4 linked regions of the Pelodiscus sinensis genome follow. The protein of the gene in region 2 purifies or fractionates together with the protein of the main gene of each other region. This does not show direct contact. Links are inferred from orthologs where the notes say so. Each region holds a gene or a part of one and is shown on either strand. Other genes may lie near its edges. The genes, in order: WDR82, CXXC1, BOD1L1 and BOD1.

The links.
Region 1: the proteins of CXXC1 (region 2) and WDR82 purify together in Homo sapiens (affinity purification with western blotting; 7 studies listed by BioGRID and IntAct, with this or other methods). This does not show direct contact. The link is inferred for Pelodiscus sinensis from reciprocal best matches to the Homo sapiens genes CXXC1 and WDR82.
Region 3: the proteins of CXXC1 (region 2) and BOD1L1 purify together in Homo sapiens (affinity purification with mass spectrometry; 5 studies listed by BioGRID and IntAct, counting the BioPlex papers as one, with this or other methods). This does not show direct contact. The link is inferred for Pelodiscus sinensis from reciprocal best matches to the Homo sapiens genes CXXC1 and BOD1L1.
Region 4: the proteins of CXXC1 (region 2) and BOD1 purify together in Homo sapiens (affinity purification with mass spectrometry; 4 studies listed by BioGRID and IntAct, counting the BioPlex papers as one, with this or other methods). This does not show direct contact. The link is inferred for Pelodiscus sinensis from reciprocal best matches to the Homo sapiens genes CXXC1 and BOD1.

The regions. Positions count from the first base shown.
Region 1 is NC_134721.1:42,423,562-42,431,435, forward strand, and holds the start of WDR82 (WD repeat-containing protein 82), read right to left. Parts: upstream 3,007-7,874; 5' UTR 2,717-3,006; coding exon 2,556-2,716; intron 1-2,555. UniProt on the Homo sapiens protein: Regulatory component of the SET1/COMPASS complex implicated in the tethering of this complex to transcriptional start sites of active genes.
Region 2 is NW_027465846.1:162,966-170,527, reverse strand, and holds the start of CXXC1 (CXXC-type zinc finger protein 1), read right to left. Parts: upstream 3,014-7,562; 5' UTR 2,886-3,013; coding exon 2,883-2,885; intron 2,374-2,882; coding exon 2,255-2,373; intron 2,013-2,254; coding exon 1,912-2,012; intron 1,821-1,911; coding exon 1,678-1,820; intron 1-1,677. Other genes in the region: synaptonemal complex central element protein 1, read right to left, coding at 4,710-4,754, 6,327-6,354, 6,742-6,831, 7,414-7,534. UniProt on the Homo sapiens protein: Transcriptional activator that exhibits a unique DNA binding specificity for CpG unmethylated motifs with a preference for CpGG.
Region 3 is NC_134715.1:108,497,138-108,504,412, forward strand, and holds the start of BOD1L1 (biorientation of chromosomes in cell division protein 1-like 1), read left to right. Parts: upstream 1-4,258; 5' UTR 4,259-4,753; coding exon 4,754-4,954; intron 4,955-5,562; coding exon 5,563-5,687; intron 5,688-7,275. UniProt on the Homo sapiens protein: Component of the fork protection machinery required to protect stalled/damaged replication forks from uncontrolled DNA2-dependent resection.
Region 4 is NC_134727.1:18,732,501-18,740,367, forward strand, and holds the start of BOD1 (biorientation of chromosomes in cell division protein 1), read right to left. Parts: upstream 3,005-7,867; 5' UTR 2,887-3,004; coding exon 2,650-2,886; intron 1-2,649. UniProt on the Homo sapiens protein: Required for proper chromosome biorientation through the detection or correction of syntelic attachments in mitotic spindles.

The sequences.
Region 1 (7,874 bases), on a different chromosome or scaffold from region 2:
TACCCATAAATGCTTATAACCAAATATATCTGTTGTTTTTACAGATCGAGACTAACACAGCTACCCCTCCATAGCTTTGTTTTCTGTGATACTCCATGCTTAATTCTGGAACCTATAACACCACCACACACAATATTTGGCACACTGCTGCCACACCAGAAAGTGGAACTTTGAGAAAAACTGAGTAACTGCACCAGGATATTTTTTCCTGAAATAATTTAGGACTTCCAGTTTGACTCACTTTGATATGAGTCTTACAGTATGTGAATTATTAGAGCCCTGAAAATCCACAGGTATCTGCATCCATGGATGAGGATATCCATGACTCATTTTTGCAGACAGGGATGTGGGACTCTATGCATCATGTATTCCATCTATAGTTGTCCTGTTCCCAAAACATGATAATTTAGAACTGATTAATGTATATATACACACAATTTTCTTATACTGAATCAGGTAGTGCATTTTTCAAGTGTTCTGTACATTTCTATTATTTATTCCTAGGATGGATGTCCTACTGCATGCTCCAAGGAAGGTTCCCAGAAGAATTTTATTCATTCCCGTTAATCAAAATTATGCTTCAAAAATTCTAATTTGTCGGAATTCATATTTGTTCAGTTTCTGAAAAAATCTGCATTCCTCTCACTATAGAGTAGACTCATGCACATTTTAATTCTAGCTTGTAGGTAAAGATGCTAACTACTCAAAAGGGGTTTACACAAAGCACAGTAAACGCCTTTCTTGCTACGTAATATTGGCAATGTATTTTAGTGGAATGCCAAATAGTTTTTAAAGTTATCGGGCATGTATAGTGTGCCATATTCAACTATGAAGTTAAAATAAATATTAAAAAAGTTATATCTAGAACGGGTTGCCATTTTAAAAGGTACATCAAAACAGTTTATTTTATCCAATTCATTTAAAGCCAAACAGGGCACTTAACATGCCCAAATCAAATGTTTGCTCTCTGACTTAGATATTCAATGGAAAGACTCATCAATAAATGAGTCTGCGACCATGGGTAGTCAACAGTAGGCATATTCCTCAAAAGAAAAATCAGGGCAACTCCACTAACTTCAAAGTTGGACATATATAAACTCATCTGTAAGTATGTACCTATAAACTGTACTAACTAAATCTGAGAAAGTTTGAAAAATCCACTCAGAGAATGGAAAGATTTCTGTGATCAGTGAAAAGTCCTAAGCCATCAATTAATTGAGAAGTTTAACTCTCTTTAAACAAAAGACAGAACTACGTAGCACTTTAAAGACTAACAAGATGGTTTATTAGGTGATGAGCTTTCGTGGGCCAGACCCACTTCCTCAGATCAATATGTGGAAGAAAATCAGCACAACCATATATACCAAAGTGATACAATAAAAAAAGTGAACGCATGTGAAATTGACAAATCAAATTTTAGAACAGAATGGGGGTGAGGGTGGAAGGTAAGTTTCTGTGAGGTAGTGACATAGGGGTGATAATAGGGGAAGTTTCTGTGAGGTAATGACATTAGGAGTGATAATTAGGGAAGCTATCTTTGTAATGGGTGAGATAATTAGAGTATTTGTTTAAACCCATACATAAACTGTCAAATTTAAGCATGAATGAGGAAGTGGGTCTGGCCCAGGAAATCTCATCACCTAATAAACCATCTTGTTAGTCTTTAAAGTGCTACATAGTTCTGTCTTTTGTTTCAGCTACACCAGACTAACACGGCTGCATCGCTATCTCTTTAAACAAAATTCTAGCCTCATAGTTGTAAAAATAGTAACCATCCAAACATGAAGCAAAAGACTTCTTAACTACAATGCTACATTTAGAAGCTGTGAACCTCCACACTTTCGTCTCCACTGCTGGCAGTAACACTGAAAGTTTTAGTGTAGATGGACTCCAGTGCCCTTTCACAATGTAAGGCAAAATCTAATAAAAATAACCTTGTTCTCCCTGCTGTTGACGCTCCATTTGCAAATCCGAATTATTCTAACTTTTCAGTTTTATATGCTCGTTAGATAAAAAGCAGAGAGGGTTCCCTAGGCTGCAGACACACAATTACAACGTTTTCAACTACTGCTCAGAGCTCTGCCCCACAGCAGCACAGCCAAACACATCCGAATCTCTTGCCACCTTCACTTTTGCGACCAACGGCCTTGGTGCCAGAAGAAAAGCGAACCCAACAGGATGCCAGTTTCACTCAGCAGCTTCTACCTGGGGAACAACTTGAGCATCAGCATCGCAGGGGACTCGTCTCTGCACACTCAGGTGGTTGCCTTCCCCGCCTCCTAGTCTTTCGCATCAACCATTAGCTGGCAGCTTTAGCGCTCAGCCAGAGCTATTCTTCGGCCTTCCTGAGCCCGCCTTTTCTCCCTCACCTGGCCAGGCGGATATTCCCCGGGGACCGATCCCTCCTGCTGCCCTCGCCCAGCCCCCGGGAAGCAGCTCTCCGGGCAGCTCAAATATCACCTACCTGCACGGGAGGAGGCTCCCGCAGATGCCCCCCCTCCCCCACAGGCCGCCCCCTCCCCGACCTGCCCCCGGCGGCCCGCCCCGCCACTCACTTGCCCTCCTGGCAGTCGTAGAGCACGATGGAGTCGTCGTCGCTGCTGGAGATGACGGTCTCGCCGTTGGGGCTGAAGTCGAAGCAGTTGATCTTGTCCGAGTTCTCGCGGAAGACCTTGGCCACGCGGAAGCTCCGCAGCACGTTGTCCGTTAGCTTCATGCCGCGGGGGAGGGGCGGCGGGCGCGAGCGGGGCCTGAGGGAGCCGGGCCGGGGCCCAGCGGGAGCCGGGCACGGAGGACGCCGGGGAGCGAGGGAGCCGGGCGGCGGCCTGGGGCCCGGGAAGCGGCGGCGAAGGGGAGGCGGGCGGGGGCCTGGAGCACGCGAGACTGGGGCAGGCGGCTTCGGCGCGGGCGGGCGGGCAGCGCCCTCAGGCGGGGCCGGCTCAGGCTGCGGAGAGGCGGCTCCTGCTCATTGTGTCCGCCATCTTCCTGCTACAGGGACACCGCGGGGGGAGGAGGGGGCGGCAGCGGTGCATTGTGGGGAGGAGGGGGGCTTGTGAGACAGCGGAGGAGAGGAGAGCGGAGGAGCAGCGCATTGTGGGATTGGCGAGGCGGGAGGGCTGGAGGGAGCAGTGCATTGTGGGATGCCGACAGGCGGGGGGCCTCGGGATGGGGACTTGGACCAGCAGTGCATTGTGGGACTCCGGACGGGGACGTCATCCACCTCCGGCTGGCCCCGGCGGCCATTTTGTGTGTGGCGGGAGCCCTACTTCTCCCCCCTCCCCGGGGCGGGACAGACGTGTGATGGCTGCAGTAGCCCCTCCGTGGGGAAGCTACGCTAGAGGAGAGGCCGCCTGCGAGGAATGGCCCAGGGTCGTACAGCAGTAGCTAGGCCCGCGTCACTGAGCTCCCTTCCCGCCCTATTCCCTGGGCCACTAACCTGCCCTCTCCTCAGTACTAATGCAGCCCTAAAGCTGGCCACTAACCTGCAAGCCTGGACACCGGGCTCTTGGCTCTCAACACGGGAACCTTGCAGCCTCCTCCAACAAGGTTCCCGTCTCTCTCACCAGCAGGGCTGTTGGTCCAACAGAGGATAGTACTTCAGCCACCTTGTCTCTGGAGCTCAGGAGGCAGGCTGGTTCGCTGCCTTGGAAGAGTCACAGGCCTCCATATTCAGAGGTTGCTACTGGTATCAGGGAGCCTACGTGAAATCAGTGGGAGCTGCAGGCATTTAAGCACTTCTAGAAAGTATTGCCCTGGGGTCTGAAGTCAGGGTCCAAACATACAGGCACCCTTCTTTAGGAAAAAAGTGGCCATTTCTGTAGCCTAGTTTCCTCCTCTGTAAAAAGGGCTTAATGATAGCAATTCACCTTCATGAAGTACTCTGAGATCTACAACTGAAAAGGACAGGGAGTTGCACTTCTTATTTAAATCACTGCTCAGTTTAATTTGTGATCTACCCTAATTACATTGGGGCTCCATTCCTACTAATTTGTTACATTTCAGACATATCAGTCTGCTATTATTTTCCTACTAACTGTTTAAAGTAAGGGAGGGGACTTCAAACTGATGTAATTCTTGTTTACCTAAGGAAAACATGCAAAGGAAAGAAGAGGCATCAAACTACTGGCATGATGTCATTTCCAGCCACTATGTTGAAAGCTGGCAAGTCTGCAGCGGGAAGTTTCTTCAGAGGGTAGGATGTTCCCTATAATTGATTTATATAGAGAAAATATTCTGGACTAGTATCGCTCTGTGATCTTTACACTTATTCACTCTATTTTCCTTCCTTCTCCTTTACAGAAAAGACAGTGTTTGTCTCTTTCCTAGGGTCTGATCTAAAACCCACTGTGGACTTTGAACAAAGCCTCTAGTACTTCCAAGACTGCTATCACAATCATGATGCAAATAAAATAAGTCCTGTGGCACTTTAAAGACTAATAGATTTATTTGGACATAAGCTTTTGTATGTAAAAATGGGGTGGAAATCACAGACATTGATTGATTGATTGATTGATTTAGTATATCAATCTCCTAAGCTCTGTGACTTCCACCCCATGCCTCTGACAAAGTGGTTTTCACCCACAAAAGCTTATACCCAAATAAATCTGTTATTCTTTAAGGTGCCACAGGACTCCTTGTTTTTGCTGATGCAAACTAACACCACTACTCCTCTGAGACATGATGCAAATAGTGATGCCAGGGAAAAACAAATCACTTTCTAATGTAATGTTGTGTAAGTCATGTGACATACTCAAGTTCTGGTGACACATTTCTGACCTAACTTTTGGGACATGCAAAATGGGGTTGCAATCAGGATGTGGGACTGTGAGGGTGCAATAGCTGCAAAATTAGAATTGTTAGCACCAGCAACCCCAAACACTGGAAGAGCCACTCACACCATCCAAAAAACTACAAAGAAATCTGCAGACAATAAGTATTATGAGTTTTTTAGAAATTTCATTCCCATCACTTTCTTGACTGGGGTGATTTGTATAAAAACAGAATCTTTGCCTTTTTTGTAGTTTGTTGTCCTCTGGCATTTGCATTACATTGCAAATACATTTCAAACCCACAACCATTTTTCACACTCTCAGCAGGGCTGTTTAAATACTGTTACATTAGAACTGCTTTCTCTTCTGGGCTTCATCCATCAGTTCTAAAATAAGTGGGACCTCATTCTAATCTCTTCCCAGTTTTGCTTTAATGCAAGTCCATTGATTTCAGGAGTTACTCATGGTTTTTACCAGCATGAGGCCAGAATCAGGCCTTTAGAAAATTATAAACTCGAAACAGCATAACATTCTAATCCCAAACACTGGAAGCAGGAAATAGAAGAGGAGTCTTTTTGATCACATCAGATACTCTTATTGTGTTGACTTCAGCTAGGAATTTCAGAGTGCAGTGTATGAGGAGTTTCAAAGGCAGAGAGTTGACTAGAAGTCTAAAGGAGGATTATTATTTATTGTTTGTATTACAGTAGCACGTAGGGCCCTTGGTCATGGATTAGGTCCCCACTGTGTTTGGCACTGTACAAATAACAAAGAGTTCCCATCCCAAAGATCTTACAGTGTAAAGTATAAAGAAGAAATGGTGTCAGCTGAGACAGTATCCCATCTACAGTCCTTTTTTTACAGTATTATTAGTTAATTATTGTAGAAGCAATGGTAAAGTCACAGAGATTTAGGACTACAGGGGGATGAGCAGCAGGAGTAAAAATGGAACTTTTAAGAAGCAAAAATCTAAATTTAATGTAAATATCCCTATAAACAGTACACTGAAGGTGCATGTCAGCAGGTGAATAGTTTCAAGAGAACTACAGAGATTTTCAGAGATTCCCATGAGGCAGTAGGAATTTATCAATAAATCCTCTATGTGTTTGCAATAGGACTGTGTATTTAAAGCCCTTAACACAACCAGTTATCTTGGGATTTGTATGTATTTAATGTTCTTTTGATATTTCAGGGAGATATTCAGGTGGCCTAACAATAGGTCAGATGTCACGGGTTCTCAACTTTTTTCTTTCTGAGTGCCTCCCCATACATACATGCTATAAAAACTCAGAGAGTAGGAGGGCCTCAGGGTTTCAATTGTGTGGGAGGAAGGGGACTGAAGGCTCCTGCCCATAGGGTACTCAGGAGCTCCAGGTTTTAGATGTACGGTAGCACGGCTCAGGGCTCTGAACTTTCTGCCTTGGGCCCCACACAGTCTAATGCCTCTCATGGTTTCCAGCCACCTGATTGAAAATCTCTGCCATCATAGGTGACAGCATTTTTTACCAGTCATAGGCAATAAACGACCTGTGTGCTTGATGTGATTTGCCATAGTTAACTCCTGGCGGACCACTGGAGCTTTATTTACCTGTGCCTCTGCAGGAACGGCCACTTGCAGCTCCGTTGACTGCGGATCGCCATTCCCGGCCAATGGGAGCTGCAGGCAGCAGCATCCTGGTCTATGCTGCTTTCCACAGCTCAGTGGCCAGGAATGGAAATCCATGGCCAATGGCAAGTACAAACAGTTATACCGTGGATGCACAGGTAAATTAAGTACTGATGGCTTGTGTTGCCCACCTCTGGTTTTCACCCTATATTTCTACCACTCATAAACCTGATTTTGTGTTGTTTCATTTGCAGCAGGACTAACAGGACAAGGGGCAGGAGAACGATCATTCACAAGAAGAAATGTAAACACAAGCAAAACCCCATTTACCTGATCTAATTGAGATGAGAGCCATATGAGGTAAAAACAAAAAAATCAGATAATCCAGAGAATGGAAAAGTGCAAGGCTGCATCACCATCTAGTGGCCACAAGTGAGATTGCCCATTTGTGGACCTGCATGCTACTAAAATCTCCTCAAACATCATTGTAACAGATATTTTCCTTTAGCATCCTCTGTTTGGCACGCGGTTTTGTTTCAACTTTGAGAACATTATTGCCTCCCTGTGGCCAAAGACATTCTGTCTGGGAAGTATTGCAAAAGAAATTTTATATTCTCTTTTGCAATAGTAAAGACCCACTTATTCAAATGCAGAGGGGTACCCCGTCAGCACTGGTACTCCTACTTGCAAGAAATAAGGGAAGCTAAGCAAAAACAGGAGCGTTTTCCTGTTGACCTTCCATTGTGAGGACAGTATCAAAGCTCGGCTTAAGGTAAGTCGACTCCAACTATGTTATTTATATAGTTGGAATTGTGTACCTTAAGCCGACCTTCCCCCAGAGTGAGGGCCTGGTCTATAGGTGTGGATATTTCAAATCCCAGAGTGACACAGTTAGACCAGTGTAAGTTTGCCATATAGAAGTGGCCTAAGTCAGCCACTCTCTGAAAAGCCTGTTAAAAACCCTGAAATTATTAAATAATGATGCAAACATCCTCTTCAGCTTTAAGACCCAGATCCTCAAAGACTTTTAGGTTCCTAACTTCCATTGAAATCAAGTTTTTAATGGGGCAAAGGAAAGGGATTCCCCTGGCATCTTGTAATTTGTATGACTAAGGCCTTAATTATCTCCCAAAAGGATGATTTATCAATACCATCAGAAGTGATTTACTTAAATGCCTACAGTACTTAGCCAAGTTACAGAGCTGTATAACTCTGTGAGTCATCAGCTGGCATTTTGTCACTCTCCTTTTATTCTTTTTTCTCCTTTCTGATTATTGGAACTTGGTCTGTCACTTTACACACAATTGACATTTATCTGGCAGAATAATCGGATCTTCTAGCAAAATGACAGCTTTCGATTATGGACGATGCCTTTACAAACTTGGCTAATTGATAGTACCAAAGGTTTCATTACTTCCGCTTGTGCAATATTGATAACATTCAGTTGGTGCCTCTTTTGCACTTATATAGGCTCAGATCCACAGAGGTATTTGGAGCCT
Region 2 (7,562 bases):
GAGCGGAGAGCAGCCCACCCAGGGTCTATTCCAGTCAGGAGACATTTCCCTGGAAATCAGACAGCCCAGCTCTTCCGCAGGGCTGTCTCCGCCCCGAGCGTATGGCTTGGAGATGGCTCTAGCCTCGGTCAGCTGGAGCACGTGCTCAGCCATTGACTTCCCGTCTCCTTCCCCCTACTCCCTCAGCCCCTAATTTTCAGCAGGGATCATGGCAGCTCCCCCATGGACGTACTCAGGGATTTTCAAGCTCCTAAATTGATACCTGACACCCCACCTGCCACCCAACCCAATCATGGATGCCAAGACCGGCCGGGGGGAGGGGGAAAGACCACAGGATGTGCCGGGAGCAGGCATTTGAGGATATTTACAGCGTAAACCCAAGGGGTCTCTCTCCCGGGACTCTTTCATTCTCACACCCAGCTGGCGAGCAGGGAGAATACTTCCTGACTTAAGAGGCCAGATGAGTGTCCACAGCTGTATTTGTAGCAGTGCCACAGCCAATGAGGTGGGGTCGGAAATTCACCCAGTGCCCACGGGTCTCACCCCACCAGCCCATGCTCCAGAACCGTGGTCTGAGAATGGGCCAAGGAACCTGGCAGGCCCGTTTCATAGACTCCTAGACTTTAAGGTCAGAAGAACATAACATAAGAACATAAGAACGGCCGTACTGGGTCAGACCAAAGGTCCTTCTAGCCCAGTATCCTGTCTGCCGACAGCAGCCAGCACCAGGTGCCCCAGAGAGGGTGGACCGAAGACAATGATCAAGCGATTTGTCTCCTGCCATCCCTCTCCAGCCTCTGACAAACAGAGGACAGGGACACCATTTTATCCCCTGGCTAATAGCCTTTTATGGACCTAACCTCCATGAAATTATCTAGCTTCTCTTTAAACGCTGTTATAGTTCTAGCCTTCACAGCCTCCTCTGGCGAGGAGTTCCACAGGTTGACTACACGCTGTGTGAAGAAGAACTTTCTTTTATTAGTTTTAAACCTGCTCCCCATTAAAAAAGGGACCATTATGATCGTCTAGTCTGACCCCCTGCACAGTGCAGGCCACAGAATCTCACCTACCCCTCCTAGAATCATCCTCTCACCTATATCTCAGATATTGAAGCCTTCAAATACTTTGAAGGCCCCAAGATGCAGAGAATCCTCCAGCTGTGATCTGTATCGCATGCTACAGAGGAAGGAGAAAAACTTCCAGGGCCTCTGCCAATCTACCCTGGAGGAAAATTCCTTCCCGACCCCAAATATGGCGATCAGCTAAACCCTGAGCATGTGGGCAAGACTCACCAGCCAGATACCCAGTTCTCTATAGTAACTCCTATCATCCCTCCATTGAGCCTGGGGGCTCAACGGACGAGAAGGGAGCACTGCCACTCCAAACGGGACGGATTGCCCAACTCCGAGACGCAGCCACTTCTGGGGAGTGGCCACGCATCAGGGCAACACCGGCGCAGCTCTCTGCCCAAGGAAATCCGACCACGTTGCAGGTTGTTTACCCTTAACTCTGCCCCTTAACGCTGGGGACGGGCAGCAACTGGAGCCGGAAGGTGGTTGGAGCTGCTCTTAGAACCCTGCCGCTCAGTTCCCTGGCAACGCAGCCCCATGGGCTCATGGGACAGAATCCCACCGGCTCCCTCCACCCCCAACCTAGCACCCTTTCCCGGGCACTTACTTTGGACCCACGGCTCTGATCCAGGGCCAGCTCCTGGGCTTTCTTCCTCAGCTCGTCTTTCTCCGCCCGATCCCGCTCGCCCTCCCGCTCCTTGTCCTTGGATTTCTTGTGCCGGTATCGGATCTCCAGGGCCGGGTTCTTATCTGCGGAGGGGAGAGGAACGCACATCACAGCCAGAAAGGCCAGGGGTGCCGCCCCCCTCCCCTCCCCGCGCCGCCCCGCCCCCGTCCTCACCTCGGCACTGCAGACAGTACCATTCCCGAATGGCCTTCGCCATCCTCTCCGTGATGTTGATACAGCTGCCATGGAACCACTCGTTGCAGTTGTCACAGCCGCTGCAGGGGCGGGAGAGACGGGAGAGTCAAAGCGCTCCCTGTGCAAGCCCCTGCCCCACTCCCCCCGCCCTGCCTGCCCCAGGAAACAACCCCCTGCCCAGCCCGTGGGCCAAGTGCCTCCTGGGGCTCCCCTTGCAGGGGCGGGGAGTTACCCGGCCCCCTTCCCAGCAGCAGCAACCTAGGACACAGGCAGGGGGACCCAGGCGCCGGAGCGACCCCTCGCCTCCCCGGGGTCTCCGTACATCATGAAGCAGTTGATGTCCGGCTTGCGGCAGATGCAGTAGACGGGGGCGTTCTCGCCATTCTCCGACTTAGACTCCTCGCCCACCGCGGCCAGCTCCGGGTCGGAGAACTCGCTGTCCTGGGGGGGGGGGGGGGGCAGAAAGGGCATCAGAGAACTCAGGACTCCCAACCCCTCCAACCATCAGACCCTCCCCCCAGGGACCCCAGGAGTCCTGGCTCCCCCCCCCAACCAGCAGCCCCTCCCCCCCGAAACCCCAGGAGTCCTGGCCCCTCCCCCCCCGAGATCCCAGGAGTCCTGGCCCCTCCCCCCCAGACCCCGGGAGTCCAGGCTCCCCCCCCCCCAACCAGCAGCCCCTCCCCCCCGAGACCCCAGGAGTCCTGGCCCCTCCCCCCCGAGATCCCAGGAGTCCTGGCCCCTCCCCCCCGAGATCCCGGGAGTCCTGGCCCCTCCCCCCCAGACCCCATGAGTTCTGGATCCCCCCCCAACCAGCAGCCCCTCCCCCAAGGAGTCCAGGCCCCTCCCCCCCGACCCCAGGAGTCCTGGCCCCTCCCCCCAGACCCGGGGAGTCCTGGCCCCTCCCCCCCCAGCCCCCGGGAGTCCTGGCTCCCAGCCCCCCCGCCCCTTACCATGGTCTCTCCCTTGCTGTGGATGGAAGCAAGACAACAGGCGCTCCTGGCCAGGAAGTCCCGACAGGCCCCCCCCCCCCGGGCGGCTACTTCCGCTTCCGGGGTCACTCTCCAACCCTGGCCAAAGGCGCCCTCGCAAACCTCCCTCCCCCGGCAGCCCGCCCATCTGCCCGCTTCCAAGATGGCCGCCCTGCGGCCTCTGGCGTGCCCCTCGCTCAGCTTCGGCCCGCTTCCAAGATGGCCGCCCCCACGTCCCAGAGGCGGGGGAACGTATCCAATATGGTCACCCCGTGGAGCGGGGACCGGCCACGCCCACTGGCATCAGCGCGACCTCGGCGCCAGGCTCCAACATGGCCGCTCCGGCGCCTCGTCACTGGCAGCATTGAGGGGGCGGCCATCTTTGACTCTGGCACAGCAAGGCTGGTTGAATCAAACTCAGATTCGCTAGATGGATGGCTAGTCAGCCAGTGTTAGGGGCTGGAGATCCAGGGCTGGATCCCAACTCTGGGCCACTGTCTGGGGAGGGGAGGGCCCAGGAGCCCTGGCTCCCAGCGACACAAGGCCCAGCCAGCTTGGAGGGCATGGGGGCTCCAGGGCACCCCTGGTGCTCCGTGGCCCAGCCCCGCTGCAACGCAGCTGCACACGCTGCCCCCCTCCTGGCAGCCTCTGCGGTTGTGCCTGCCCTCCTGCAACTTCCCCTGGCTGCCATAGGCCCCTTTGGGACCCGCGCTCCACGCAGCCGTGAGCATGCAGGACAGTGTCTCCCCAACCGCGTACCATAGCCCCCCACCTTCCAGGGAGCAGGCCGTGGGCGCCGAGTGTCCGAAGTCTGGAGACTAGGAGTGCATGTCCCAGCTGGGGGGGTGCTTCTGTTCGTGGTCTCCCATGTGAAATTCACTTATTTCAATTCACCTTTGTTCTTTGCCTCCCTGATACCCTGCAGCAAGGAGTTCCACAGGATACACCACTCAGATGTGCACGGCCAAACACAGCCATATCCCATCTGCTATCCACTGCTCCCTCCCAGAGCTGAGAGCCAGGCCGAGAATCCACCATGCTCCTTGGGGAATTGGCTAATTCCTCTCCCCATTCAAAACGGATGCCTTATTCCCAGGCTGACTCTGTCCAGCTTCAACTTCCAGCCACGGGATCCGGTTAGACGGTCTCCTGCTGGCCCGTTATTAAATACTAGAAGATTTACCCAGCATTGCTCAGGTAGGTCCTTCAGGGCTGGGGCGTATGGGGCGTAGGAACCGGCGGAGACCTCACTGCTTGGGCGGTGGCCCCCCCGGGACTGGCCATGGTGGGGACCATGCTGGCCGGGTGGGATTCCCCGGAGCCGCTGCTGCCCCAGTCCCCATCGCTGGCCCCTTGCTGCCCCCCTGTGGTCATTACACTTATAACTGTCCCTGCTAGCAGCCCCCTCCCTTTCTATGTTCTGGAAAACTGTCGCATCCCGGGCACGTCCCCTTGTCCTGGCCTTGCGTTAAGTTCTGGGAAGAGGAAGCCGCCTACCGAATTTGCGGGTCCTAGCTCGTTCATTTAGGAGCTCTCAAACAAGCAGATGGATGGACAGACGGACTCGCTCGCTCGCAGGCGAACAAGCTCTCTCAGCAGACTAGTTCCCCGTGGCCCCTCCCCACGCGACCCCCATCCTCCGCAGAACCGGACCCTTCGCCCCTGCCCCGAGTCCAATAACCGGGCACAGCAGGGGCGTAAGCAGGAAGTCTTTATTCACCACAAGGAGACGGTTGTGTCCAGAGGCGACGTAACTCCAGGCCGATTTCCGCTCTAGGAGCTGGGGTGCTTGCAGAGCGGCCGTGGCTTTTAGGCAGCTGTTTCCATGCTGGCTGAACTGCCCCCAGTTCCCTGCTGTGGGGCAGAGCAGGTGAGGGAGATTGGGGGGGTCACCGTGCCCCCAGTCAGGACGGTGGGTCACAGCTGGATGGGAACACACACTGGCACCAGGCATTGGATCCCACCCCAACAGCGAGGGACGGAGCCAGCCCTGAGCACTCTGGCCCAGGAATGGCTGCAGGAGCCAGCCCACCCCACTGCTGGGCATTTAGGGAAGGGCCGTGGGTCCCACCAAAGGGACCACTCAGCCCCACCAGTTATCTTGAGGGAGCCAGCACGGCCAAAGGAGTGTGAGCGACTGCTGAGCATCCCAGCGGAGGTGGGCACCAGCAGGAACTTGGAAAGCAGACACTGTAATCTCACACACCTCGCACCAGCCAGCCAGCCCTCGCACACCATGCACCAGCCAGCCACGCCTCGCACACCTCCTGCCAGCCAGCCCTCGCACACCTCACACCAGCCACGCTTCGCACACCTCCCGCCAGCCAGCCATGCCTCGCACACCTCGCACCAGCCAGTCACACCTCGCACACCTCCAGCCAGCCAGCCCTCGCACACCTTGCACCAGCCAGCCATACCTCGCACACCTCCCACCAGCCAGCCAGCCCTCGCACACCTCGCACCAGCCAGCCACGCCTCGCATACCTCCCACCAGCCAGCCACGCCTCGCACACCTCGCACCAGCCAGCCAGCCCTCGCACACCTCCCACCAGCCAGCCACGCCTCGCATACCTCCCACCAGCCAGCCACGCCTCGCACACCTCGCACCAGCCAGCCATACCTCGCACACCTCCCACCAGCCAGCCAGCCCTCGCACACCTCGCACCAGCCAGCCACGCCTCGCATACCTCCCACCAGCCAGCCACGCCTCGCACACTTCGCACCAGCCAGCCAGCCCTCGCACACCTCCCGCCAGCCAGCCACGCCTCGCACACCTCCCGCCAGCCAGCCAGCCCTCGCACACCTTGCACCAGCCACGCCTCGCACACCTTGCGCCAGCCAGCCAGCCCTCGCACACCTCCCTCCAGCCAGCTACACAACGCACACCTCCCATCAGCCAGCCACGCCTCGCACACTTCCCACCAGCCAGCCATGCCTCACACACCTTGCACCTGCCAGCCACTCCTTGCACACCTCACACCAGCCAGCCAGCCCTCACATACCTCCCACCAGCCAGCCAGCCACGCCTCGCACACCTTGCACCAGCCAGCCATGGCTTACACTCCTCCCACCAACCAGCCAGCCACACCTCTCACATCTCCCAGCAACACCTCGCACACTTCCCACCAGCCAGCCAGCCCTCGCACACCTCCTGCCTGCCAGTCTTCACTCACTTCCTGCCTGCCAGCTCTTCCTCTAAACTCCCCACCTTGTCGTCTCTCCTCTCCCCACTTCTCCATCCATCTCCCCATCCCAACATGCCCCTGCACCCGTGTCCTTCCTGCACACCCCTCTCTGTCTGTCTGTCTCTTGGGGGAATTCTGGCCACGTGCGGATGTGCCGGTCAATGGACTCGCCAGCCAAGCCCTGCCCCTTTGGCAGCACAGAGTCCTGTCAACAGTTTCCCTTTGTCGCCGCCATCCTCACCTGCTGGGCCTCCAGCTCGGCCGCCAGCCTGGAAGGGACCAGAAATAACGGTTCTATCAAACAAGGGGGGCACCTGGCTGGGCCCATCGCCAGGGCAGCGGCGCCCGTCACAGAGAGGAAGGGTTACACTGCACAAGGGGTGTGGCAGAGTCCTTCCTCCCAGCAGAGACTCACCGCCACTTCTGGGGGCCCGGAGCCACTGGACAGCGAGGAATCCCAGAACCCTCTGGGAACACAGGGAGAGTGGAAGGAGGGGGAAAGGACCCCGCCAGGTTGGGACTGGCCAGGGGAGTTTCCTGGACACACCAGTCAGAGCCTGGGGCGCCCAGCCCCACTGCACTAACCCCCTCGGTCCCACCCTCCGAGCCAGGCTAGAACCCAGGGGTCTGGGCTCCCAGCCTGCCCCCACGCTCACCTCTTGTACTTCTGCTGCAGTTCTGAGTGCCGGAGTGACGCTGCCTCCAGATGCTCAGTCGCGCTCTTGTTTTCCTGCTGGAACAGCTGCCTGGAGACAATAGAAAGCATGGAGCAGCCCAGCCGCCTCGGTGATGGACAGCAGCCATCCCCCGGCAAGGCAGGCTGTGCTGGAAACAGCTCTCCCTGCATTCACCTTGCCAACTGCCTCTCTGCCTCTGCCCACGCTGCCCCTAGGCACTCTCCCCACTAGCCCAGATGTTTGCTTTCACGCCAGCACCTGGGCTGTCCTCACTGCTCCAGAGAGTACCAAGGAGTCCTGGCTCCCAGTGCTAACCACTAGACCCAGCTCCCCTTCCAAAGCCACAGAGAGAATCCAAGGAGTCCTGTCTGCCAGTCCCCCCATGCTGTAACCACTAGACACCTTTCCCTTCCTATAGCCAAGGGGAGAACCCAGGAGTCCTGGCTCCCAGCGGTAACCACTAGACCCAGCTCCCCTTCCAGAGCCACAGAGAGAATCCAAGGAATCCTGTCTGCCAATCACCATGCTCTAACCGCTAGCCCTCACTCTCCTCCCAGATCCAGGGGTGGGACCAGGCATCCTGCTCGGGCTGTACTGATGCAATATGCTCCATTGGTGGCTGGCACAGGGCTGGGGGCGCTCCACACTCACAGGGCCGTGCTAGCCTCCTGGCTCTTCAGGAACATCCTCTCCTGGCTGAGAGCTGCCCTGGCCTGGGGCAGGGAGTCCAGCTGCTTCTCAACCTGGGCCAGGCTGGCTTGGATCAGCCGGTCTAGGGCAAAGGACAGAAACGGCGGCAC
Region 3 (7,275 bases), on a different chromosome or scaffold from region 2:
GCATATTTCACCATGATAATATTTTCCAGCAAGTTTTTAGTTTTCAAATGCTACATCATAAGGCATGTTTATACTAGTATTATTACAATGGTGTGTAAGGTGTGAATATAAGGATACATTCAATCACAATTCTATACAATTAAGCCACAGGAATATTGTATGTAAAACCCTGAATTCAGTTACTGTATTGTTATTTCTTTATGTCTCTTTCCATTTCAGAGCAGACCATACAGTTTCTATAGTAAACAAAGATTTAATGTATACAAAAACCACAAAATGGCATACAGCATTGTAAGCAGTATCTGAAATATTGATGAAGACACTTTAAACAAAAGCTGTTAGGTAGGACAGTGACCTTTGTTTCTTATCCAGACTTTCCTTCCACTGTCACTTTTACACACCAAGTTCTCAAAAAATAATTTGTACTTCTCTGCTGTGGCTGAGTGAATATACTTCTGATCTTATTCCAGAAACATTTTAAAGCCTTTTCGTCACTGCTAAAACAGAAGGGCTTTGTCTTCCCTGCGCATTTAGTTCAGAATAGCTCGTGCACCGTAATTACCCCATGTTATAAAAGCAAAACAAAAACTCACCTTTTGTAGCACTGTGGGAAAGGCCTAAGGACTAGATTTAAAAAAGGAGTGAAACATTCCAACGATCAGTGTCACAATCCCTAGCTTTTAGGCATCAAGTAAGGGGACGCCGTTATTTTAAAATAATTTTACTAGCGTGTACACAGCCAAACTGCTATTTCAAAATTAATTTGAAATAGTGGAGCACTTATTTAGAATTTGGTAAACCTCATTCCACGAGGAATAACACCAAATTCTAAATAGCTATTTCGAAATAAGTGCTGTGTAGAAACTTATATCGAAATATGGGGCCTCTGGCCTTCCCAAGGTGCCTTGGTGGCCACTCTAGCCTCAACCAAGAACACTCCTCCCCTGGAGCCCTTAAAAGGGTTGACTCTGGCCACAGTGCCTGTGCCAGCTCCAAGCCTGCCAGCCCAGAACCAGCAGTCACTGCTCCTGACGCAGTAGTCCCAAAACATGAGCCCGCAAGCCACTGGCAACCAGCCCTCCACCGCTCCTCAGGAGCAGTCTGCCAGTTCCCAGGAGCCTGCCAGGGCACGGAGAAGGCGGGCGCATTCCTGATCCAGGGTGGAGATCATGGACCTTATTCAGGTTTGGGGGGATGCTCCCAACGTCCATGATCTCCGCACTAGATGGAGGAACGCGGCCGTCTATGGCAAGATAGCTGCCAGCCTGGCCACCAAACGCCACATGCAAACCCAGGAGCAGGTTTGCATGAAAATCAAGTTGGTCCGGTGAGACCCCCAACCCTGAGTCCTGAGCTACCCCTCCCCCTTCTTCCCCTTGCTTCCCCCTTCCAGATTCCTCCTCCCCTCTCGTGCCTCCTTTCCCCAGTCTCACCAGAGTTTCATTCCCCCACCTCCCACCCCCAGTTTTTTAAATAAAGAGAGTTTGTGTTCATGAAAATACATGTATTTTATTTGACATCAGGAAGGGGGGTTAGGGAGGGTTAAGTGGAAGGATGTGAGGGAGGAATGAGGCACAAGCCACCAGTGGGGCAGACCAGGGAGGCTCTTAGTGGCTCCTCAGGGTGGAAGCTCTCTCACATGGCCTCCTGAATGCTGACAGCCCCCCGATGGACCTCCTGGATGACAGCCTGCAGAAAGTGCAGCCAGGCTCACAGCAATGCATCCAAGAGAAGCACCAGAGTGCCCAGGGGGAGCTCTGGCTCCATGGCGCCGAGTGCTGTAGTGTCCCAAGTGAGGGCAACCAGAGCACGCAGAGACAAAATGCTTTGCTGTCCCTCATTGAGGCTGGCAAGCAAGCAGGGAAAGCTGAGAACCAGCTCCCCAGACCGGGGGTGGGGGGGAGGGCTTTAAGCACAGGTCTCGGATAGCCTCAGGAAGCAGCCACACAAAGTAACTCCTGACCTGATGTCCTGCTGGACCTCGTTCCGGTCGGCTTTAAATGCGATTCAGTGTGCACTCAGTGTGGATGTGCTATTTCAAAATAGCAAGACACTATTGTGAAATGCATTTTGTGAGTAGACGCGTTATTTTGAAATAACTTATTTCGAATTAACTATTTCGAAATAAGATATTTCCAAATAATGCTGTAGTGAAGACATACCCTAAGTCACAGGAATACCACTGTGATTCTCAAATCCCGAGTTAGGTGCCTAAGAATGGATGGCAGGAAGGGGTGGCTATGCCTCCCTAAACAGCCAGGTGTGGCCACACCTGCACTAAGCCCCACAGCATCCACTTTGGGTGTGCTGCTGGGCTCCAGTGGCTAGGGGCATGCTGCCCACCCTTTTGGGGTGGGGGACTGTATTTTCTCACACTTCATTTGCATAATCTCTTCCGATGCTTTTTGCGCAAGACATTTTTGTGGAAAAACTAGATGTGTATATGGATCCATTTTGCACAAAACCTTTTGCACAAGATCCTTATGCCTCAGAAAAGGATATCTTGCGCAAAAGGGGGTTTTGTACAAAACGGATCCGTCTACACAGCTAATTTTTGCGCAAAAACCTCTTGCGCAAAAAGCATTGGAAGAGATTATGCAAATGAAGTGCAAGAAAATGCTAATGAGCGCTTCATTTGCATTGCTTCTTCTGCAAAAAAAAAAAAACCCTAGTGTAGACATACCCTTAAGGCTGGAATAGTTAAGCTAATGGAAGAGCTTTCTCCTTCCATCCGCCCTACAGCAATTACATTAAAGAGTTTACAGGGGGGCAGTTCATTGCTACAGTTCCCAATGCTGTAAACTGTCTGTTGTACCCGTAGTCTGAGACACAAATCTTTCTTTTGGCAAAGGAGTAGTATGAGCCACACAATCAGCACCAGAGCTGTGAAGCAATGAATAATAATGATTCATTTAATATCTCAGTGATTAGTATCATCTCCGTCCTCAATACTAAGGAAACATGAGTTTTTACCCTGGGGTAATTACCATGCATTAGCTATTCTACTGTAAAAACATGGTAGAGACAAGACACTTTAGTTTCACCAGAAGACAAACTATGTGAGGTCAGCACCATGCCCTCCCTCCCGTGCAATCAATGCAAAGGAGAAACAGGATACCGTAATTCGTTTAAAAAAAGCAGTAAACTTGTCAAAATGAAGAACAACACTAACATGTATTATACTGAAATATTAAACATATACAAAATACTATGAAATTAAAATATGCATAAACAAGTTAGTAGAAATATCAAAATTTATGTATGCAACAAATTAAGTAATAAACAGTAAAGTATGCACTTCGATGTTTGCAGGATGGCAAATTACTTACAGAAATAAATGTTTAATGTTTTCATTTACAAAGGGAAGGGATAAAAGTCACATCTTACTTACTGGAAGTTCAAAAAAGCACTCAATATTAAAGAAATGTACTATTGTTTTACATATATGGATGCTTTGAAAGAGCTAACAGAAAAAGTATGAAGCTAGTACATCTGAAAGGCTCGACAAAAAAGAAAATTTAAGACTCTAAAATGTATTTATTTATTTTAACGTTATGACTTTGGGATGCATATCTCATGATTTTTGAATACCTCTATTATATCTATATTTAGAAACAATACAATAGAAATTTATTTTTTAGGATAGTCCCACTGCGCCAGATTTTTAAAAGTATTTAGCCGACTAGTAGGATTTTCAGAAGCATCATGACACTTTTAGCCTTTAAAAATCTGGCATGCAGTGATTTTTTGGGAACCAAATTTGACACACAAATAGTAATGGGATAAAAACAGGGTGCTGGATAAGAAAGCAAAACAATTGACCAACACGATCTTCATTGATTTATTAAAAGAAACTGCAATGTGACATCAACCCAGGAAATCAGCAGGTGTTGATAAGAATAAAGGTCCCAAAGAATAAAATGGTGTTTGACAAAAACTACTGGCACGATACGGACAGTGCTACCCCAGAAACACTGAGACGGGATGGCTGAAGCCTACTAGCAGCTATGAATATTTTTAAACTGATTAACTGCACCTAAAGTATGATCTGAAGGGCACAATGACATTCGTGTGCCTAGAGTGGACGACGAGCCGCCTGGCGCAGCACAGGGCCTGGGAGGCGGGAGCCAAGACGGACTGTCCTGCAGGGGAGAAGGGGGCAGCCCCTCAGCCTCATCCCCAGCGCCCAACCCCCGCCTGACTGTGCCCCTCAGCCCTGCCTCGGCTGCCTCCAGGCGCCCGGCCAGCCTGCACCATCCCGTCGGGCACTGCCCAGATCCTGCCCCCCTCGCTCCCCAGGGCTCCTGCGCGAGCAGCAATTGCCAAGCCAGGGCAGCGGCTTCAGCAGCTCTTACTGAGCACGCGCACGTCACAGGCGCATGCTCAGAACCGGCGCACAGCCCCGCCCCTTTCTCGTTCTCAAGCTCAGCCGGCTGGTAGAGGCGCTGCCGCCGCGCGCAGCAATGGGGCTGCGCCCGGGGAGCTGGGAAGGAGGGGCCGGAGCCGGAGCCGGAGGGCTCGGCTCAGATGTTCCCGCCCCGGGAGCGGGGTGAACAGCCAGTAGCAACGCCCATTCCTCTGTGCGAATCAGCCCTGCCCCTCTCCGCTCGTTGTCTCTCGCTTCCTCCCTCCGTTCCCTTTCACTTCCGGGGTCAGCGTTGCCGCGGTTGCTGCTCAGTAACCAGCCCCCTGCCCGGGGCCCGGCTAGAGGAGCCGGTTGCCGCCCGCGCTCTCTGAAGACCCCGCTGCCCCCATGGCCAGTAACCCGCAGCCCCAGCCCCCTCCGCCGCCGCCCCCTCCGCCGCCCCCACAGCAGCAGCCGCCGCTGCCTGGGGCTGCCGGCGGGGGCGGCGCGGTGGAGCCCGAGCTGGTGTCCGTGATCGTTAATCACCTGAAGAGCCAGGGGCTGTTCGACCAGTTCCGCCGCGACTGCCTGGCCGACGTGGACACCAAGGTATGGGCGGGGGCAGGTCTGAGGAGGGGGCGAGCGCCACGGGGGCCCGGAGCTCGGGGGAGGGGAGGAGGGCTGTCTGCCGAGACGCGCAGCCGCTCCTGCCTGGTGAGCGTTGCCCGGGGTGGAGGCAGGGCTGCCCTGGACACGGAGCCGGCGGGTCCTCGCAGCCTTGCAGAGACTCCTGGCTGGCTCTAGCGTCCTGGGAATGTCGTTCCCCGGGGATACGTCGCAGCAGCAGCTCAGCGCGTTGCCCCTCGCACTAGACCGCTGGCAGGGTCCTTAGCAGCAGGTTCCTGCCTAAGGAATGAGCTCTCAGGGATCAGTGAGTGACTTCAGCAAGATCGGGCCGTCTGTGTAAAAGGGACTGGTCGCTCCCGTTTATGTAGGTTATACTGTATAAACTTTTTCCCAAGAGGGTAATAGAATTCTTTTCGGTAAATAGGTTTTGGTATATGGGCATTGCCTATCAGAGGATGGCAATCCTGATATTTTTATTGATTCGGCAGTTAAGATCTAGGGAGCTTTTTAAAGTTTTTCAGCCCTCTCATTAGGAAAATGAGTTTTAAGCAGCTTTTTTAAATATCTGATCTCACCTTTTGCCCCTTTAGCCTGCTTATCAAAACCTGAGACAACGCGTTGACAACTTTGTTTCCAATCATCTGGCAACTCATACTTGGAGTCCTCATCTCAACAAGAATCAGTTGAGAAATAATATTAGGCAGCAGGTTCTCAAGTAAGTCATAAGTTGAGTTAATATTCTGCCGTTTAAATAGATACTCGTGCTCTAGTGATAGGTGAATGGAAACCTAGTGTTAGTCTGAATCTGCGTAAATAACAAGAAGTCCTGTGGCACCTTATAGACTAACTGATATATTGGAGCATAAGTTTCTGAGGGCAAAGACCCACCTTGTCAGATGCACCTGATGAAGTGGGTCTTTGCCCACGAAAGCTTAGCTAGACAAAGAAATTCCACAACTTCTATGAAGAGAGAATGTTACCTTTGTTACCATTGTATCCGGATATAAATGCTCGTCACTCTTGTGATATGTTGTAATACAGTGTTGAATGTTTCCTGTTTTGCATCACAACTTTGAAGGAGTCTCGCTTTGTTGGAATATTGGGTCTGCAGTCTTTGCATACAAGGATTCTGGCACTACCACTAACTCATAAGTGGTTTATTCAACAAATTACTAGTTGTTGTTCGGTTTTCTGGGTTAAATCTTGTGTTATTAATAGGATTGTAGATATGAAAATTCATGTATGTTGCAAGCACAAGTTAGTTATTCAGAGTCATATTCACAAAACAGAAATCCTTGAACAGACTTGATTTCTATGGACAGCTAAAAAGTTTTGTAAAGACTGCTGGTAAATGGTCATCTTGAAATATCTTTGAATAAGCATTTATGGTGAATCTAATTTGTGCCATAAACACATTTACATTAATATCCTCTGCCTAGTGTTGCACATTACCCTAATATGAGAAGCCGCCTAATGTTACTCCAAACTAATTTGTATAGATAAAGGTTGCCATCCTGTCAATTTTAGGGACAGATCTGAAACTTGGGAGCAAATGCCACCTGTTGCATGGTTAGTGATAGGTATCAACACTTGAGTATAGAGGAAATACAATTATTTTGTAGTTAAGACTTGATAACACCATAAATGGAGAAATGGTCTCAAGTGAAATGTAGCCATAGGCAACTCATTCTGTTTTCTAGAGCGTGATGGACAAAAGGTAGGCTATTAGGTAGCTAACTGGTTCAATGCTGAAGCTATTACATAAAGTAAATTAAGAATCTGAACTCCACTGTTTAGTAGTTGCAACATGATGCCATTCTGAGAAATTCTAACATTGGGGTTATGAAGACAATAGATATAGTGCTGTCACATTTCTTGCTACCTGTTCTGCATAGAATGCTTTCCTCAAACTGATTCATAAAGATAACTACAAAGGGGATCTGCAAGTTTATGCTGAAAGAGAATAAAAACAAATCCATTTGCTGCAGGCTTTTTGTCAGGCATGAAATGTTTATTCAGATGTGTGTTAATGGGACATTTTGAGCACTATCTAGATCCACGGTATCCAACAATCTAGCTACTAGCCACATGTGGCTATTTGGCCGTTTGAGTGTGGCTAGTTCACTATAGCAGTAGCCATTACAGTGGCAACTGCTTCAGAACTGGTTGGACACCATGGACCTAGACACAAGTCAGGTAGGAGTGTTCCTGAAGCAAATGCAAACAATTACTTTCTAGGAACTTAGAAAGTTTATGGAAAGTTGTCTGTGTGGAGGGAAAACACTTTTTAGATAAACCAGATC
Region 4 (7,867 bases), on a different chromosome or scaffold from region 2:
TACACAGTTTGCTGTATTCCTCGTTCTGGGTGGGGAGCACAGGAGGCAGACAAACCTGGACCTGTCTCAGCTGGGGCACCTGCATCCTTCTCCCTGCTGTGCCCATTGGAACTGCAGAAGCCATGGAGAGGCACTTCCCATCTGGCCCTAGTTACTGTGGTGAGAGAGGGCTGGGGTAAGTCCCTTCTCCTTGGGATAGCCTGCATACTAAACCCTTCATTCCCAGTTCTACCCCAGAGCAATCATTTAAATGAAGAAAAACAAAAATTGAGTTCAGGCCCCAACCTATGTTCAAGTGTATTATAACTGCAATAGCTAGACCTGTGTTTTGCGTGCACAGGTAATTTGCATTCCATTCAGGCGCTCAGACGCGAACAGTTGCAAGAGTTATATTTAAGAAGGCCTCTAATATGACTTCCAACCACAAAGTTCCTACAAGACACTTTAATTAGATAAAATTGACGATAGTATAAACAAACAGATGTGCTTGCTGTAACCCTAATGCAAACTGGAAAGCCAAGAAAGTGGAGAGGGGTGGTTTTTATTTAATGCTCTGTGTAAATCTACCTTTCCTGTTCTTCAGACTTTAGGAAACGGAAATGTTATTGAGTATTAGGGACGTAAATGGTTAACCGGTAGGGGCTGGAACAGTTCCCTATCGGCCCAGGCAATGGGATGCTCCAGCCCCACAAGGGCCACTACAGGCAAGGACTCCTTGGCCAGCCCCTGCCTGTAGTGGGCCTGACCTGGGCGGCACATTGCAGGTTACATGCTGGCTCCCACTGCCAGGGCCCCTGTCAGCCCTGCTGCTAGCGAGGCAGTTTCGCAGCAGCAGGAAGGCCTCCTCCTCCCTAAGAGCGGGGTGGGAAGCCTTTGCCAGCCCTGCTCCCAGGGAGGCCTCCACTAAGATTTTTAGCAGTTACATGGTTATGTTTTTAAACCCCGTTTTACATTCCTACTGCGTATGGGAATACCAGTTACTAATGTGGGGCAAGGGCAAAAAGGTGGCAAATGGTCTTATAGCAAGACCAGAATCACTACAAGGAACATCATCAAAAATTAAAATGATACTCTTGTCAATATGCTACAGAGCCTATCCCTTTTAAGTGGCCAGTTCAAATTCCATTTAGGTTTGTTGAGAGAAATCTGTTCCGATCATATAGGTGGCAGTTTCATGGTTTAATACAGAATAATGTGGTGGTTTCAGACACACCAGTAATTGGTTATCAATACTGATGTTCTCAGTGGCATTAGAGGGGAAATCAAAATTTCTATTAAGATTTTCCCACCCCAATGTTGGTTCCTTTGGCTCCAGAACACTTGCACCCTTGTTGTCAGACTATTCCCCATTAACAGTATTAATTCTAGTACTTTTTTGTAAGCATAAAGGGAGCTATAGCTTTAAAGAGGACACTTTGGGTGGATGACTCTAGGAGTACATACATGTCAGAAAGGCTACATGTTAACATTTCAGCAAAAATAGTTGCAATTGCAAATAAACAAGTGACATCATTGCAAAAGTAGATATATGGTTACAGAGGTTTAAAGGTATTCATTCTAAGTAGCACTTTATGTTAAAAGACTCTGAAATGCTTTACAAGCTATGTACACATATGAATCACTTCACCCACTGATAAACTGCAAGCACCTATAAGGTGGAACAAGACAGTTATTTAGAAATGCTGCAATGGTTTATTACAGGAAGGGATGTCCACATTCTGCTGAAGTCTCAGGTAAAGCTTAGGAAGACAACAAGCTACCATACACCCCTTCAGGATGATAACAGTGGGGATTGCACCCAATTCCTGCAAAAGTACTTTCACTGACTGAAGTGCTGACTAGTGGAAGTTTTGGGTTTCATCCAAGTGCAGGAAAGCCCAGCAGCTTTTGCATCCCCTAATCTTGCACTAGTGAGAAATGACTTGGGTAATAGTGACTTTCACTGAATTATCAGTCGTGCTTTCTACCATTTCTCAGGAAGACCATGGACACAGAAATTAGATAAGCATATGCAGGGGTCAGAAAAAACACGAGTGGGAAACCTTGTACCGTATAGTAGAAAGTTAAAAAGCCCTGAAACTGAAAAGTTTATCTTCTGGGCTTCATGAAACACTTGTATATTTTAGTTAAGGTCACTCTTGGCTGCAGGTTTGAGATAGATCCAGGCTCCCCAAAAGAAAGTTGGAACCCAAGATGAAGTAGGTGACTGAAGCAGAAGCTTCAGGGTCGAGTCTGAAAAACTAGGGGATGGTTGTCAGACAACAGGCCAGAACTTGGGGGATGATGTTTGAAACAGGAAGGTGATGAGACACTCAGACCCTCGTACCCATGTCAGCCAAAGAGCCCAAGCCAAAGCTGTGGAGCTCAAGTAGCGAGACCGCACTAGAGATTTTGGGCGGGGAAAAGCCCCTATCAGCCTATTGCCCCTGTTAGCAGGGCAGTCCCAGAAGAGCCGCTGGAGCCTGAGTGAGGGGCAGCCTCTGTTCCTTGCAGGGTCAGAGAGCGCCCGGCGTCTCCGTCCCGAGCAGTGCGAACGTGCCCAGGCGAAAAGCGCGGCCCTGGTACCCCGGTCGGCCGAGAGAACCAGGCCCCGTTCCCAGGTGCCCCTGCGGGGGAGGCGCTGGTGGGGCCAGGCCCCTGCAGCGCTACCTTGGTGTCCACGTCGGCCAGGCAGTCCCGGCGGAAGCCGTCGAAGAGGCCGCGGCTCTTGAGCTGCTCCACGATGAGCGCGATGAGCTGAGCGTCCCCGGGGGGCAGCGAGGCCGGGTCGGTGGCGCCGGGCCCCGCCCCGACAGCCGCGCCCCCAGGCCCCGCTGCTCCCCCAGCTCCAGCGCCGCCGCCTCCCCCGCCCGGGGCAGCTCCGCCGGCGCCTCCGCTCTCCGACATGCCCCACGCCTGCTGCCCGGCGCAGCCAGGCCTCAGCAGCCGCCGCTCCCAGCTCACCCGGTGCCACCGGCACCGCTGCCGCCGCCGACGGCGCGCCACATTCTGCGTATGTCCGTCCCGCTGCATTATGGGAAAGGGAGTCCTTCCTCTAGGGCGCCTCTTATAGGACTTGAGCCTTTGGGCTGAGCAAAGAAACTACGATTTCCAGCGTGCACCGCGTCGCCAGCCCGGAAGGCCGTGGGGCGCTGAGCAATGCATTCTGGGAATTGTCGTTTTTATGTCTTCGAAACATGTGCGCGGGGAGTTCGTTGCCCCCTGCCTGGGCCCGCGGGGGAAAGACAGCTCCGAGCTCTGCTCCCGGAGACCCGGCTCAGGTATTTCCAGGGGCGGCCCGCTCCCCTAGCTCCCTCCCCAGGGCCCCGTGCGGCGCGCTCCCTGCGCTGGAGCAGGGCAGTGAACCTGCTAGGCTAGTGCCGCACCCGCTAGGCAGCTTTTCCTTCCTCACCTGTTGCGTGCCCGACGCAGCGTGCGGGTTTGGGGGACTCCCCTGTGCCAGGCTGACTGCTCGCAACGCCGGAAACTTTTCTAGGGGGGAGTGTAATGCGCGCATTTGGCCACCGGGGGAGGCTGTGGCTTTGGCAATCATCCTCTGTTGCACTGCAACAAAAATTGACAAGAGGCTGCAGGTTTGCGGTGCTGATCCTGCTTTACAATAGTTGGGATAAGGAATATTTTTTGTCTTCATGATCTATTGTTTCACTGATTTTAAGTGGGACATGCAGACCCTTTGATCTCTGGGTGCCTATCTAGTTTCCCTGTCAGTGTCCAACAACTCTATGAAGAAACATGTTTAACAGTCTCAGAGGGGTAGTGGTGTTAGTCTAACTTGAAAAAACTTAAAAAATGAGTGGTCCTGTAGCACCTTAGATACTAACAAAAATATATATAGTATCATGAGTTTTCATGGGCACAACCCAGTTCAGATGAGTGGAACAAGGTGCCTTGTTTTTTAAGTTTTTTTTTTTTTTGAAGAAACATGCTGATTTGTAATGTATTTTAGTACCCTCGTAAGTTACTCAAAGAGCTAATCCTCTGCCCCCCTAACAGCAATAACAGTTTATTTTCTATATGTCTCTCTAAAAGTGGAAGACTACCCCACCACTAGGCCCCATACCCGGTAATTGATACCTGGTACATCATATCCGCATACATACTGCATTTAAAATGCAGCCCTAGGGTTGCCAGATGGTTTAACCAAAACTACCAAAAAAAGGGGCGGGGGTATTTTCTGAATTTTTTTACCAGACAGGAGGCAAAAATACCGGACTGTCCAGGTCAATACCGGACACCTGGCAACCCTATGCAGCCCTAATAACCAAAACTATTTTTGTAGATTTAGTTTTAGGGGCAAATTCTGCACAGAGGACCGCTAATATAAATCCAGAATAAACTTATGACCATTAATGGTGTTACTCTGGATTTACATTAGTGAAAAGAATAGCAGAATTTGGTTCACTTTTACTTCTAGTGGCAATGAAGTTCAGTGCCAGTGGGCCATTCATTCCTGTGGCTTCTCCTCTTAGTGTGAACAAGGGCCAGCGTGGACATTTATTTACTGGGTACTGGACCAAAATAACCACCAGCATTTAACATACCTTCCTACCTACCAATGTTTTTCTGAGTCATCCTATCTTATGATGTGCTATCTTGTGGGGTGATTTGTTTATTCTGCTGCTGGCCAGCTTGTATGCAGGCTATGTAAGGAGTTGCCTACTGCCTGCCAGCACCTCTGGCTCACCAGGAGTCTGGTTCCAATTTGGCCCTGCATTAATATATTGAACATTCCCAGGCACAGTGAGTCTGACTACTAATTTGAGCAACTTTAGTTCTGCTTTACTACCAGTGCACCACGTTTGGTGATTAGCATATCTCAGTTGACATGGACATTGAACTATTTTATCTCCTGTACCTGGTCAAGACTTCTGCTACCAAAACGACTTAAAAGAAGATACTTGTGAATCAGTCCCCTTGCCCACATACACCCCAAAAGAGAACATATCTATCCAGTGTGTCTCTTTCATTTACGTACTTTCTTAAAGCCAGAATAAAATGGAATCAATTTGGGGGGAGGTAAATGGGATGGCTAGATGAATATGATTCTTACAATTATGTCCTCATCCCAAGTACACTATGGGGAGTAGCCCCATATCCATATCTTTCTGTGGGTTGTAGTAGTTGTTGAAAGGTGGGAGAGCAAAATTCTGCATGCGATGCATTGTCCTTTTCATCTGATTAAAATTCAGCAGCTCTGAAAAGCAGCATAAGCTGTCCCACGCCATCTGGCAGCTATGAGGAGGAAAAAAGCCAGCATTTATAGGCACCGAGATGTACATTGGAAAGAATATGCACTGCAGCATGTTGCATATTATACAATGCTCTGCATTACAAATAGGGGAACTGTAACATGCGAGTCCTTCCTATGCAGAAAAGCAATCCATTGAATCTGGTATCTTGTGTCTGACATTGGCTAATGCTGGGTGTTTCAGAATGAGGTATAAAATTCCCCACAAGACATTTAATCATACAAAATTAATCCACACAGGGTTTCATTTCTTCCTGACCACCACTAGCAATCAGTTTCTCACTGCCTCCAGTGATTAACTTTGAAACAGGAAGCTTGAGATCCCTTGTAATTTTGTTCTAATTCCTACAACTGCTGGCCCTATCCTTAGTCATATAAACATATCAACCTCCTTTTTAAAAGTTACCGAAGTGTTTGCCCTATCATCCTGCTGCAGTGAGTTCCACAGGCATAGGTTAAGGCTATGCCATCCTTAAAGTACCATGTTTACTCCATATGGCAATAATAAAGCATACTTTGTTTTTTAGTATCGAAAGAGTGCCTATTTCTAGCAATAAATATTGCCATACCTGAACTACATGTTCATTTGAACCATGCATATTTGGGCATGTGACTTTTAGGGATGTTAGAAATTGTTTAATTTAGTTATTGTGTAACCGCAACAATTCTTAGCGGTTATACGATTATTCATTGGCCCCCATGGGTGGGGGCAGCTGCCAGTGTGTTCCCATTCCCACTCCTGGGGAGCCCCCTGCCATCCCGCGCTGCTGCCTCTGATACAGCGGTAGCAGTGCGGGGTGGCAGGTGGGAACTGGTCTGCAAGGAGAGCCAGTTTAAAAATTGGCTCCCTGTGCAGACCGGCTCCTGCCTGCCAACCTGGGCTGCTGCTTCTGTATCAGAAGCAGCAGCATGGGGTGGCAGCAGCCCCTGTCCGCGGGGGTTCCAAGCTCCTCACGGACAGAGGCTGCTTCAGCATCTGATACAGAGGCAGTAGCGCTGGGCAGCAGACCGCTCCCATGCGTGCTCTTCGTTTGAAACTTGGACTGGCGGGCTAGGGCTGAGCCAGCATGCCAGTCTGAATTTTAAATTCAGAACATGCTGGGGGAGGGGTGTTGTTGCAGTTATCCAGGACCGTTAACCAATAAACAATAGCTTATTGGTCAAATGATTATCTGGCTAGCTGCTAACATCCCTAGTGACTTCAGTTCTGTGTTCTGTGATGTGTGTTTTTCTTTGTCTTGTTTCCTACAATCATCTTTTTACTTTGCTGCTGGAATTTATTTCAGACTATTGGATCTCAGTGCTGTATGTTGTTCAGCCAGGCTGATGCATGTAGAAATTCACCCTGCCCACCCCCAAAAGCCGCTGTGCTGTTAGAGGCACTGTTTAAATTCAGGAAAAACCCTGGGCATTTTGACTCATGATCATTTAAGGAAACCATGATGCTCTTTGCAAGGAGTGCAGGGAGTGTGATAAACAAATTTCAGTTTGGGGAACTTGCCTCCTGCCTGCCTACAGTCTCTCTGTTTTCATTTGCGTAAAATTCCCTGGCGTATGCTGCTGAGTTACTGAATGGTCATTGAACAGATCTCTGTGTGTGGGAGAAAATCTGAGTCTCTTACGCATTGGGAGTAGGCTCCAAGCACAGCTCTGTGACCTGGTGGGGCTCTACTCCAACAGAACTCTAGTGGTATCCAGGGATGTTAAGTACCATTCAATTAGCTAATCGAGTAGTCGATGGAATTTCCATTGCTACCCCCACTGCAGGTCTGCAGTTTATATGTAGTAGGAGTCAAGTATGCAGGCAGCCAGGCTTCTCCTACATTTAAACTGCAGTGCTGCAGTGGGGTTAGCTCCTGGGGGTGGCATGAGCCAGGACTGAGCCACCTGGCTCTTGCTCTGAAAAGGCAGAGCCACAGCGGGGGAACCCGGCGTGAGCCAGGACTGCTTCAGTCCTGGTTCACACTGGGTCCCTGATTGCTGCGCCTCTGCTTTTGAAATGTAGTAAGAGCTGCCTGGCAGAGGTGCCGGGTCCCCATCTGCAGCTCTGTCTTTTAAATGTAGTAAGAGCCAGGCAGCTCTTACTGCATTTAAAAAGCAGAGGCACAGCGGACAGAGACCTGGGGCCAGCCAGAACTGAAGCTGTCCCGGCTTGCTCCTGCTGAGCCTCTTCCTCCCTTTCCCCTCACGGAGATGGTGCTGGGGGAACCAAAGCTGGTTCCCCCTCCCCCCCCCCCCCAGCACTGACTCCTGCTCCCCCCACCTTGCTGCCTCTGATTTCCCAGTTCCACGTAGGGACGTGAACCAGGTTGGATATTAGGAAAAACTATTTCACTAGGAGGGTGGTGAAGCACTGGAATGGGTTACCTAGGGAAGTAGTGGAGTCTCCATCCCTAGAGGTGTTTAAGTCCCGGCTTGACAAAGCCTTGGCTGGGTTGATTTAATTGGGATTGTTCTTGCCTTGGGCAGGGGGCTGGACTTGATGGCCTTCTAAGGTCTCTTCCAGCTCTATGATTCTCTGATTAAGTGGTGGGCTAGAGCAGGCCCACGCAGGGCAAGGGGGCTGCTCCAGCCTGGCTGTGACCCCCTTGTCTACCTCTGTTTAATCAGTTAACAGGA